2 linked regions of the Drosophila melanogaster genome follow. The protein of the gene in region 2 interacts with the protein of the main gene of each other region in a pairwise test. Each region holds a gene or a part of one and is shown on either strand. Other genes may lie near its edges. The genes, in order: Sec10 and gammaCOP.

Region 1 (5,286 bases), 7.4 Mb from region 2:
GCCAACGAGCGCCAGAACATCCACCAGGAGGAGCTGGGCGAAATGAGGGCTAAGTACCAGCACGAACTGGAGGAAAAGAAGTGCCTGCGGCAGGCAAACGATGACCTGCAGACGCGACTCACCAGCGAGTTGGCGCGCCACAAGGAGATGAACTATGAACTGGAGTCTCTGCGAGGTCAGGTCTTCAGTTTGGGAACCGAGCTTCAACACACCCAGCAGCAGGCGGACATTGGGCTGCAGTGCAAGCAGGAGCTGGCACGACTGGAGGCCGAGTTTATTATCATGGGTGAGGTGCAAGTGCGTTGCCGCGACCGTCTGGCTGAGATCGATAACTTCAGGGCCCGCGACGAGGAACTGCAGATGCTACAAGAGAGCAGCAACCTGGAACTGAAGGGTGCCTATTCATTGTTTATATGATACGGATGTTTAATCATTCAGTTTATTTATTAAGATCTGAGGCACAGCCTGGACGAGAAGACATCACAGCTGGAAAGCATGAAGCACAAGATCAGCGACCTGCAGGCCCAGCTAGCCAACAGCGAGAAGGCCATGACGGAGCAAAAGCGACTTCTAAGCACCGTCAAGGATGAGTACGAAGAAAAGTTTAAGGTAGGGCTGATATTTAAAATCGTATACTTATCTGAAATAGTTCGGACTTTTAAGAAATAGTCTGTGTTTACCAGTAACTTCATTTCAATTAAGAGTAATAAGCCTTAAAAATCGTCGTCCTTGCAGTCCGTGAACAAGAAGTATGACGTGCAAAAGAAGATAATTATGCAGATGGAGGAGAAGCTGATGATGATGATGCAGCAGCCGCAAGGAACAACAGGTCATAACACCTGTTCCCCGGACACGGACAGAACTGGTGAGTGCAAGAGCTGCTTCGCAGCTAAAGAATACTTACTATTGCATTCTCCCACAGACATAGCTTCATCCATTGAACGCAACTCACCGCTATCCACGTCGCTGGCCTCGAGCGAGAGCTTATCCGCCAGCCTACGCTCCACGGAGCTGAAGAACCTGCACCAGCTAGTGGACACGCCCACTATTCCGGATGTGCTGAACAGCATGGCCGGTGGCGCTCAGTTCGAGGACGAAGTGCGTCCGCCGGCCGTGGATCTGGCCTCCTCGGCAAGCACCGCCAGTGCCATCAACATCGTGCCGCACGCCTTGGACTTGCCGTCGACCTCCGGCGGCATCGGTCACACGCTCACCCACCCACATCCGCATCCGCACCTGCACCTGCAGCAACAGCAACAGGATCAACTGCAGTAGTAGCAGCAGACGCAGTTTGTAAAAACAAATAAGAACTAGCTTTCCTTCGCTAAACAAATGTCTATTGGGAAAACCCGCACAGAAAATTTACAAAAAAAAGTTATTGGTTCTTCATATTTTCATATTCAGTTCAAAACTGTAACTAAGGTTTAATAAATCGCTGACTCCACGCAATAATTATAAAGGTTATAAAAAATATTAATGTTTGAAATTTTAACTTGTTTAGCACATTGCAATTTGTTGTAAAAAAGTGGTTTTGATACGAGGCAATAAGTAAGACGCGCATTCATATTATAATAAACATTTGATTAAGATCAGCAAACATAAAAGCATTGTTTTATTTTATTTAATTGTAAACATACTATTTGTTATATAACAACCGCCAAACATTTAAATTTTAGCTAAGAGAGCAAACAAAAACGTAAACAAACCGAGCGACATTGCCAGCTGAAAGAAAGTGAGAAGTGTGGCAACCTTAAACGAAACAGCTGAGCGGAAGCAACAATAATATAGAAAGAAGAAGCAGAAAAGAAACGCCTATTAAATCAGATCATTTAAATACGAAAACTTAATAATACATTAAAATGCTATCCCAATACATGGAGGAGTTTGAACAGGTGGGCTCAAAGGTCACGTAGGCCCGATTATGGCTTATATTTATTAATCATAACCAACAGGAACCCTTTGAGGTGGGCGAGTTCATAGAGCGTCTGACTTGGCGCACCAACAATGAACTCCAGAACAGCGAGGACTTTCATCCTGTGGCCCTCCACGATACCTTCATCCAGACCATTAAGGACCTAAAGATCCTGCAGGAGAAGCAACAAAGCAAGTGCGAACGGCTAGAGGAGTCACTGCGCCAGGAGAAGGAGTCGCACGCCAAAAAGATTGCCAAGCTCCAAGAACGCCACCAAACGGCCATTGATGTGTTCGGCCAGCTGGACGAAAAAATCAATTCGGTGGCCGGCAAGATCATGCACCTGGGCGAACAGTTGGAGAATGTGAACACTCCACGCAGTCGTTCAGTGGAGGCCCAGAAGTTACTCAATTTTATGTCCGAGTTTTTAGCCGCTGGCCCTGTGATTGTCAACGATATTTTTGCGGATGCCGCAAGATTAAGTGAGGCCGCAGATGTGATACAAAAGCTCTACGCTATCTCGCAGGATCTGCCGCCCGGAAACTTTGCGGAATCCAAAAGAAAAATCGAAAAGAAATACGATGAAGTCGAGCGGCGGTTGATCGAAGAGTTTGCCACCGCCCAGAAGAGCGAGGACATCGAGCGCATGAAGACACTGGCCCAGATCTTGTCCCAGTTCAAGGGTTACACTCAGTGTGTAGACGCATACATCGAGCAGAGCCAAATGCAACCGTACAGTGGCAAAGACATATTTATAGGCATTGTACCGCTATGCAAGCATCACTACGAGATAATCCAGAAGGTGTTTGCCAATCCGCAGCAGGTTATGTCCAAGTTCATACTTAACATATATCAACTGAAGCTTCACCAGTACGCCATGACTAAGTTGGAGGACAAAAAAGACGAGGAGAAATATCTTCGCACCCTTTATGAGTTATACTCGCGGTGAGTCATTCAGAAGTTACGTTAAATGTCAAAATTTGCGATTACTTTCATTTCACAACCACTTTGCAGCACACTAAAATTGTCAACAGATCTTCAAATCTACATGTCCACGATCGACGACGACTTGTTACAGAAGCTGACACAGCAGATTTTTATAAAGCATTTGGCCGGCTACGCCGAAATGGAGACCAAATGCCTCACAGCCAAGTGTTCCACAGAGCTGGAAAAGTTCTATGCCAGCAAGAAACACCAAAAGACTGCAACTACTAAGGGCTTTCGGAGAAACATGGAGGTGCTGATAGCCACGCGGGCTAACATAAATATTGCTGCCATCGAGGACTATGGCGGGGAGACGTTCCTATCCGAAGAGTTGGCCATCAACATGCTGCAGGAGGCCAAGGCGTCGCTTAAGCGCTGTCGCCTGCTGTCCAACGAGACCGAACTACCAGGCAATGCTATAAAGCTAAACGATATCCTTCTTCGTTTCTTGATGCACGAGCACGTAGATTACGCACTGGAGTTGGGACTGCAAGCAGTGCCACTGGCCGAGGGCAGGGTCTTTCCCCAGCTCTACTTCTTTGATGTGGTGCAAAAGACGAACATCATTGTCCATCTACTGGACAAGCTGTGCCACACATCTGTCATACCCTGTGTGAGGTATGTTAGGACTTTGTTAATTTACATTTTATAGAATGTATAATGTATTCTTTTCTAGTAATACACCCAAGTACTCGGACTATGTGTTCAAAAAACGTATTCTGATGGAGCAAATCGAGACAAAGCTGGACCAGGGTCTTGATCGCTCTATTAGCGCTGTTATTGGCTGGGTCAAGGTATATTTGCAATATGAACAAAAGAAAACGGACTACAAGCCGGAAACAGATGTGGATACAATATCTTCAGCGGTAAGATATAAATTTAGTAAAATCGAGCTTATCTGTCTATCCTTAAAAATGTTTATTTTTCTTTTCTAGGCCTGCTTACAAGTCGTTCAGAATCTGCAGCCCGTGATTGTGCAGATTAAAAAATGTGTTGATGGAGAGAATTTGCAGAATGTTCTTACAGAATTTGGAACTCGGTTGCACCGAGTAATCTACGATCACCTGCAGACCATGCAGTTCAACACGGCTGGCGCCATGTGTGCCATCTGCGACGTGAACGAGTATCGCAAGTGCATTCGCGAGCTGGATAGTCCACTGGTCACGCAGCTGTTTGACATACTGCATGCATTGTGCAATTTACTACTTGTTAAGCCCCAAAACCTTCAAGAAGTTTGCACGGGTGACACTCTGGTAAGTGTGCGGTGCCTTTGATGTCGAGCGATAGTCTTACGTTACCATCTGTATCCACCCCACTCTATTTAGAATTATCTGGACAAGTCGGTGGTGCGGCAATTCATTCAGCTGCGCACTGATTTCAGGATCATCAAGAACACCAACTATCTGAAGGGTATTATTGAGTGAGGAGTTCGACGTCCAGAATGATTCACATTCCAAAATTTTCCACCTTCGCTGTCTACGGATTAAATTGATTTATTAAAGGGGACATTATCTAATGATGTTTAATTATGGCTTGCCATGTTCTTTAACTTTCAATTAAAGTCAAGTGGCTGGTTACTTTTATCAATACATCGCCCGCGTTACTTGATTTACTTTCGTGTATTTATAGGCGCGACTCACACGCGTGCCCGCCGCCCAACCACCCACTCTCAGACCCACACACGCCTCCAGCTACGTCACGGACTTCCCGTTTGGAAATCTTCAAAGAGATTCGCTGACCTTATCAGTTGGAGCTGAAGCGAAAGTCAGCGTTATTTGCTCCCATCGGCTTCCAGTCAATAAATCAAAGTTTATTGCCTAGGCGTCCGCGAATTATTTATTTATTTACGTTTGCCCGGAGAGTGCCAGCACTCCAATCGAAGAGAGGCCGGCTACTTTTGTTGGTACCCACTATTCTTGGTGTCAGTCACCTAATAGCCACCAAGCAAATCGTATCGCCAAAAAAAAACGTTGCCAGCCCGTGATCCTGATTAACGAACTGCTTTGTTATTGTTATTAACATTTCTTATTTGCACACCTACGCAAAATTCGTTTGGACGATATTCTAATCAAACCGCGATCAAGATCTCAGTCGATTAAACCATGCGCGGCGCCCTAATGGATTACTATCTAAAAATACTCTTGGTTATTTGCGCTGCCCACGAATTGGCCGGCGGAACGATCAAGTCTACCAGAGATGCTGTTTACAAAAAATATCTGTCCCTAAGATCTTTGCCCTTCGAGGATTGCGGTAAGTATATCTCAGGATCAGTGCTTTTCGGTGGGTCGATTCAGACAACGTATAAAATCAATTGATTTCCACAGGGGAAAAAAACGGTAAGAAAATATCTCGAGCAGTTTTCTTATACACCATGGCTTTGTTAAGGTATG
Region 2 (5,901 bases):
TGGAGATGAGTATAGGAGTTGTAACGAAATGAAATTATCATTGTGAAATTGCTGCGAACTGCATGAGTGTGTTATTTGTTATTACGAATCTATATTATTTTTATACTTGTGTGCGTTTACATTTTAAATATTTAATACGGAAGAGCGTTTCGAACGATTGATGGAACTGCATCGTCGATACATTTTACACAAAAATATTCAGCATAGTCGGAATCGGAGAATGTATAATAAGGAATCGATTGCGAACAAAAGCACAAGAAATTATGAATTCATGTGAGAAAGGTTAATTTGTAATTTAAGACGAATGTGGAGGACGCAGCGAACATAAACGATTCAAACGAGAAAAGAAATTTGTAAAAATAGGAAAACAAGAAGTACTCTAGGCTACTGCAACTATAAGTTATTTATAATTAAATAAAATACCATATAAAATAAAGTAAGTTCTAGTTATGAAGCAATTTCTCTTTGGAGGTGCGGTTTCCACGAGCTTGCAATCATTAAAATCATTTCAATGTCCTACTTTAAAAGCACCTGCCAAATAAACGCCTTCAGGTCGGGTTGCATTGCATATACATGTATTTTTAATATTTTGTTTCCATACTTAAGCTAAATGCACAGGCTAAATGGGGATAATAAACATATGCGATGCACACCGAAGGCTGCATCGCCACACAAACTTTTCGGAAATGGCCAGTAGCAATACTCAATGTTGCACATGCCGGATTGTGGACAGGGCTCTAAGATTATTACAGAGACAGTCGCTTAAAGGTACAAATTATATTTTGATTAGGCGTAACTTTCTGTTTCGTAGTTTCGTAGGGAGTTCAGATTACGTTCACAGCACGCAGGAACCAAAGGAGGTTCCTGCATGGCTCGCTGTCTTATCCAATGGCCGCCGTTATCAGCTCCGCCACGTCCTGGTCCGTGCTGCGCACCGTCAGATTGAGCGTGACGCCTTCTGAAAGCGCCAGCTTGGCCCGCACAAGAATCTCGGCGCCGCCTCTGAAGGTTCCTGTAAAGGGGGAAAAACTGTACTACTGATCTCAGAACTAAAAGCGAAGGATGCCTACCTGAACAGAGCAACGTATGCAGGTGCGTACCCTCGGGCACATTCTCAGAGAGGTTTGCAGCGCCCAAGCCCAGGATCTTGACTATAGTGTTGACGGCATCCTGCAAGGTGGTCACTGCCGACAGCACAAAGGTATCCTCGGCTTGTAGCCATTCTGCAAATATAGAGTATTACTAATCATTGAATAGACCCTATTTATCTTTCTGTGGCACCTTCGCTGTCAGCCGCATCCCAGGACACTTGGAAATTGTTCTTTCTGGTTTTCTGTATCTGATCGGCAACCGTCAGCTCCAAATCCTCTAGCATGTACTCGTCGTCATAGCCCTCCTCTGACTCCGGCTCGCCGGTGTTGGGGTCGCAGTCCTTGACCACAAATCGTAAAGTGGCACCAAAGGTGGCTGAAATGAGGAAATAGTTCGTTTTGAAAAAAGTTGTATGATTTTAATACAAAATTTATGTTATTTATAAACTTACCTATGGAATTGGCGGCGTCGGGCGGGAATTCTACGATGACAAAAGTGGTTTGCAGATCGTTGTAGGGTAGCTTGGGACATGGAATGACCGCCCTGGTTGTGAATCCTTCCGGCAGCGTGAGTTCCACCCGCACATTTTCAAGGATTTGGTCGGACAGCGTATTCAAGCAATCGAACTGGAAGACCACGTGCTGGCCGAATATGTGTTTGATGCACTGCACCGTGTACTCCGTTTCACTTTCAGTAAGCTGGATGGGAGCTGTGCTGCGATGGATGGGGCCCAGCACCTGGATGCCCGGCAGCTGTGCCAGACGTGCAGCACTCTCCTCCTCGCGCGTGATCTTCGGCGGCCGTGGAGCACTGCTGGTAACTAGCATTACGTCGTTGGCAATAACTGGCTTAACTATGGCCGCCTTGGGCACAATGGAAATATCGAAGCGTGTGTCCACGTCACCATTCAGATGTTCGACCAGCGACTTCTCCAGCAGAGCCAGAGAACAGTTCTCCCTTTCGATGATGTAGTTCTTGTACAGCTCTGGCCTTTCCGAGTTAAGAATGCTAAGGTAGTAGGTGGCACGGTCACGCACCTCGTCGTCCGGGTCCATCTGGCAACGACCCAGCAGAACGAGGATATTGCTTAACAAGGCTGGGCAAGATGCTCCAAACTGGGCCATGGCCGTGACCGCGGCTGCTCGCACAATAGGGCTCTCCAAGATGACGCGGTTGTAGATAAAGCGTATATACTTGGAGGGTGTGGCCGCAAAGGGTCCCTCCTTGCCCAGCAGGTGAAGAATCCTCACCGCCAGTGAAACGTGTTCACAATCCTCGATGAACTCGCACAGATGCGACAAACCGGACTCCTTGGCGTCCGCATTCTCCTCGATGATCGTGATGATGGTGTCAACTATGGAGGTCTTGTATTCAAGGCCACCCTCCTCGCGCAGCATACCGCTGAGGAAGTTCATCAGCACTGTGTGCTTGCGCGGATATTTGGTGCACAGAGCGCAAATGGCCTGCACGACCACCACCTTGAATTCATCGGAAATCTCCGCCACAAACGTGGAGATCTGCTTCATCAGACGCTCTACCGAGGATTCAGCGCCGGTCTTTAGCAGCGTAGTGATGGCCAGAGTGGCCACCGATCGATTGGAGTCCGTGATGAGACCTTCCAGGTCCAAGTTACAGGTGGTCACCGCAGCCGGGTGCGTCATCGCCACCTTGTTAAGCGTGCGCACAGCCGCAAAGCGCAACGTTGCCTTCGGCGAGCTGCAGAAAAGCTGGAGGATGGAGAACGCCGGCGATAGCATTCGCGGATTGGTGTTCTTGAGGTTGACAATGGCGTGGGCCGCCTCGTAGATGACCATCTCGCTCTTGTGGCGCAGACAGGACTCGATGAACGTAAACAAGGGTGAATCGGAAAGCTCCTCAGAGGGAATGTCCTCCTCCTCGATCAGCTTACAGGCAATGCGTATCTGGGGGATGTAAAACGAAATTAGTCAGATGTCACTTTAAAGGGAATAAGTGCATATCCATTTCATTAAGAAAAGTTTGGGTTCAGACTTCACTTACCAGCATGCAAACGGCATAGGGACTCTTTAGAGATCCTCTGGTCAGCTTGTTGACCAACTTGGAGACAGCCAGCCGATCCGACTTGCGGATATGGTAGAGCAGACCCAACGCGTGGTACTGTACCATAATGTTGTCGCTGTTCAAAGCCTCCTGGGCCTCGTTTGCCCACCTCTTGACCACGTCGCCGGCAGTGTTGGCCAATCTCAAAGAACTGACCAATGCAGCACAAGAAACTGCCGCGTTTTTGTCAACAATGCACTGCTTCATGTAGCGCTCCACGGCCTGCAACATGGTGTTATCCGTGATGCTGCACAAGGCCCGGATTGCGGCGGCCCTGTACAGGTCTTCCTTGCCGGTCATATCCTTCGTTAGCGAGCTAGTCACGATGATGACGTCCTCGGCAATGGAGCTCAGCTCCTTGATGCCCAGGTATACCATACGACGCAGCACCACGTCCTTAGATTGGAAGAGCTTCGTCATCGCAAAAAAGCAGTCGGTGGCCTCGCGGGCCACAAGCTGCTCACCCTGATTAATCAGGTACAGGATTTTGGTCAGGATGTGGATGCACTTCCTTGGGTTCACCGGCGTCTCATTGAAGGTGCGCGTCTCCTGAAGCACCGAGGTTTTTTCCAGGTTCTGGTACGCATTGCTCGGTCCTGCTGACGGATGGCCGCGATGTTTTTTGTGCGAGGTAAGGGAAAAATAGTTCATGTTCTCAGTCAATTTAGGGAAACCTCGATTTTTCTCGACTTTGTCGGGTTAGTGGGTGTGTGAGTGTGTGTCTGTGCCAGCGGAGCACCTTCAAGCAACTGGGTTGTCTTCGATTGGCTTCGCTGGTCGGCGGACAACTTGGCTCCAGGTGCTAGCTTGCTACTTACCGTCCTCCTCATCATCTTTCTCGCGGCGGAACGAACCCATTGTCTTGCAACTTTCGGTTAAATTGTGGGTAAAACAATTGAAATGGTTTTCTGGCTGCGCTTACACGTCACTCAGCGGTGCCCAGTTGGTTCATCTGTTATCGATGTGAAAACTCCAGTTAAGTATCGATAGCTCCGATGTTGTTCTTATCTTTAAAAGACAACCTTTTTTCTGCGTTTTGTAGGCAGTATATATTCGCCGATTCTGCACATTATAACTTTCAGTTTTCAATTAACTCGACACCGAGATCTGGTAGTTTTTTTTGTTCTTAAAATTTCTTGTTTCTTCACTGGATTGAAAAGGAACTAGTTGAGATTCACTTACTGGTTCGATTGTATTTATCGATAGATTATCGATTATGAATGGGCGGAAAAATAGCTAAGCTTTGAATTTGCTCCACGTTAACTTTATAACGAAATTGCTAAGAAATTGTATGAATATAATAATGTTTTAAATTTTATTTACATTTTCATAATTTTTTACCATTAGTTTGATTCGTTTTTTAAATGGGCATTGGCCGGAATTGTGACGAAGATTGCGAAGGCTGATCAATGCGATGAATTTTTAGTTAGATAATAACTTCGTTTATATTTATAATATACGCTATTAGTACATTTATGATTTGCTGGAGGGGAAGTTCTGATCGATAGATCTCGTGACCGTTAAGTACCGATTACTTTTCCTAATTTAATCGAGTGTTGATCCTGTTAACAAAATGGACGCCAGCTTTTTTGTCAGCTCTAGTTTGTTTTGACCAATTAAATACGACTTCGTATTGTGTTTACTTAATTTATGCGTGCATAAGCACCACCAATTAGCGAAAACAAGGAACCCATTATATTGAATTGTCAATTTCCGGCGCACTGCAAGTGCCGTTAATTGCATTTTGCATGCCGCGGGGAAATTCCGGCGCACGAAGAAACAGCTTCATTGCGTGTCCACGAGGCGAGGACCTCCGCCAAAACGCTAAAAAGCCAAAAAAGAAAGAAACCGAAAAGATCGAGACACCTACAGCATGAATTTATGGCCAGGCGATAAGCGCCGGCCAGGAGGAAAATCCGCCTGGTGCCCAAAATTGGACAAGGAACGTGTGCGTCAGACGGGCGGAGAATTTAGTAGCTGTCAAGGCATCAGCTGTGGCCCCTGGAAACACCTACAAAGCCACGAATCCCAAGTTGAAGCCAAGTCGGAGCGAACCTAAGGCCAAAGTCGGAGCAAGAGTTGAGACGTCGGCGCACGCAAGGAGTGAGCCACAGGTGAGTTTCAGGCTGGATGCCAGCCAACAGTAGAACTCCAATTTGTGCAACGCTCCCCCACAACAGCGTCATTCATTCTGGGGTACCTCTTGTACCAAGACTGGGTTTGTTCTGATTTCCAAACAGACGTGTTTCAAAGTTTTCCTAATTGATTACCTATATATGAATGTACATCAGGAATGATTTCGACGAGCAGTAGCAAGTGGTGTATACTTTCGGAATCTTCTTGTCCCCCATCGAACTTCGACTGTAATCCGCAGTTAGCTTTGCGTGCAAATGGCAAGGAATGCGGGCGGGGATGGGATACTCAGGGTTTGGTGTTTCGCTAGGATGGAAGTAGAGATCCCGATCCGCTGGTGGCCTGTGACTCCACAAGGCTGATGCTGTCAGTTGCTCTCGGCCGGCCATTGGCAGCTTTATGGCCGACTGGTGTGTGTGTGGGCCAACCTGCATACCTATCATAAGTACGAATATGAATCTCTAAGCACTTGCATTCGTTAGTGTGCCTGGTGCGAAAGATGCAAAACGGTTGCAAGTTCGGATTCCAGGTCGGAACCTCCCCCATCCCGACCGAGAACTTCACCGGTGTGCTAACAAGATGGCAACACATGAAATT

What was found.
Region 1: the proteins of gammaCOP (region 2) and Sec10 interact in a two-hybrid assay, tested with the Drosophila melanogaster proteins (one large-scale study listed by BioGRID).

Annotation. Positions count from the first base shown.
Region 1 is NT_033777.3:24,133,055-24,138,340, forward strand, and holds Sec10 (secretory 10), read left to right. Parts: upstream 1-1,776; 5' UTR 1,777-1,859; coding exon 1,860-1,892; intron 1,893-1,952; coding exon 1,953-2,857; intron 2,858-2,926; coding exon 2,927-3,514; intron 3,515-3,572; coding exon 3,573-3,762; intron 3,763-3,831; coding exon 3,832-4,149; intron 4,150-4,221; coding exon 4,222-4,320; 3' UTR 4,321-4,484; downstream 4,485-5,286. Other genes in the region: Tsc1, read left to right, coding at 1-394, 452-609, 736-865, 923-1,275; Npc2f (Niemann-Pick type C-2f), read left to right, coding at 4,999-5,146. UniProt on the Drosophila melanogaster protein: Component of the exocyst complex involved in the docking of exocytic vesicles with fusion sites on the plasma membrane.
Region 2 is NT_033777.3:31,570,367-31,576,267, reverse strand, and holds gammaCOP (coat protein (coatomer) gamma), read right to left. Parts: upstream 4,126-5,901; 5' UTR 4,030-4,125; coding exon of another isoform or gene 3,990-4,029; 5' UTR 3,823-3,989; coding exon 3,112-3,822; intron 3,015-3,111; coding exon 1,544-3,014; intron 1,468-1,543; coding exon 1,282-1,467; intron 1,224-1,281; coding exon 1,071-1,223; intron 1,013-1,070; coding exon 882-1,012; coding exon of another isoform or gene 825-881; 3' UTR 561-824; downstream 1-560. UniProt on the Drosophila melanogaster protein: The coatomer is a cytosolic protein complex that binds to dilysine motifs and reversibly associates with Golgi non-clathrin-coated vesicles, which further mediate biosynthetic protein transport from the ER, via the Golgi up to the trans Golgi network.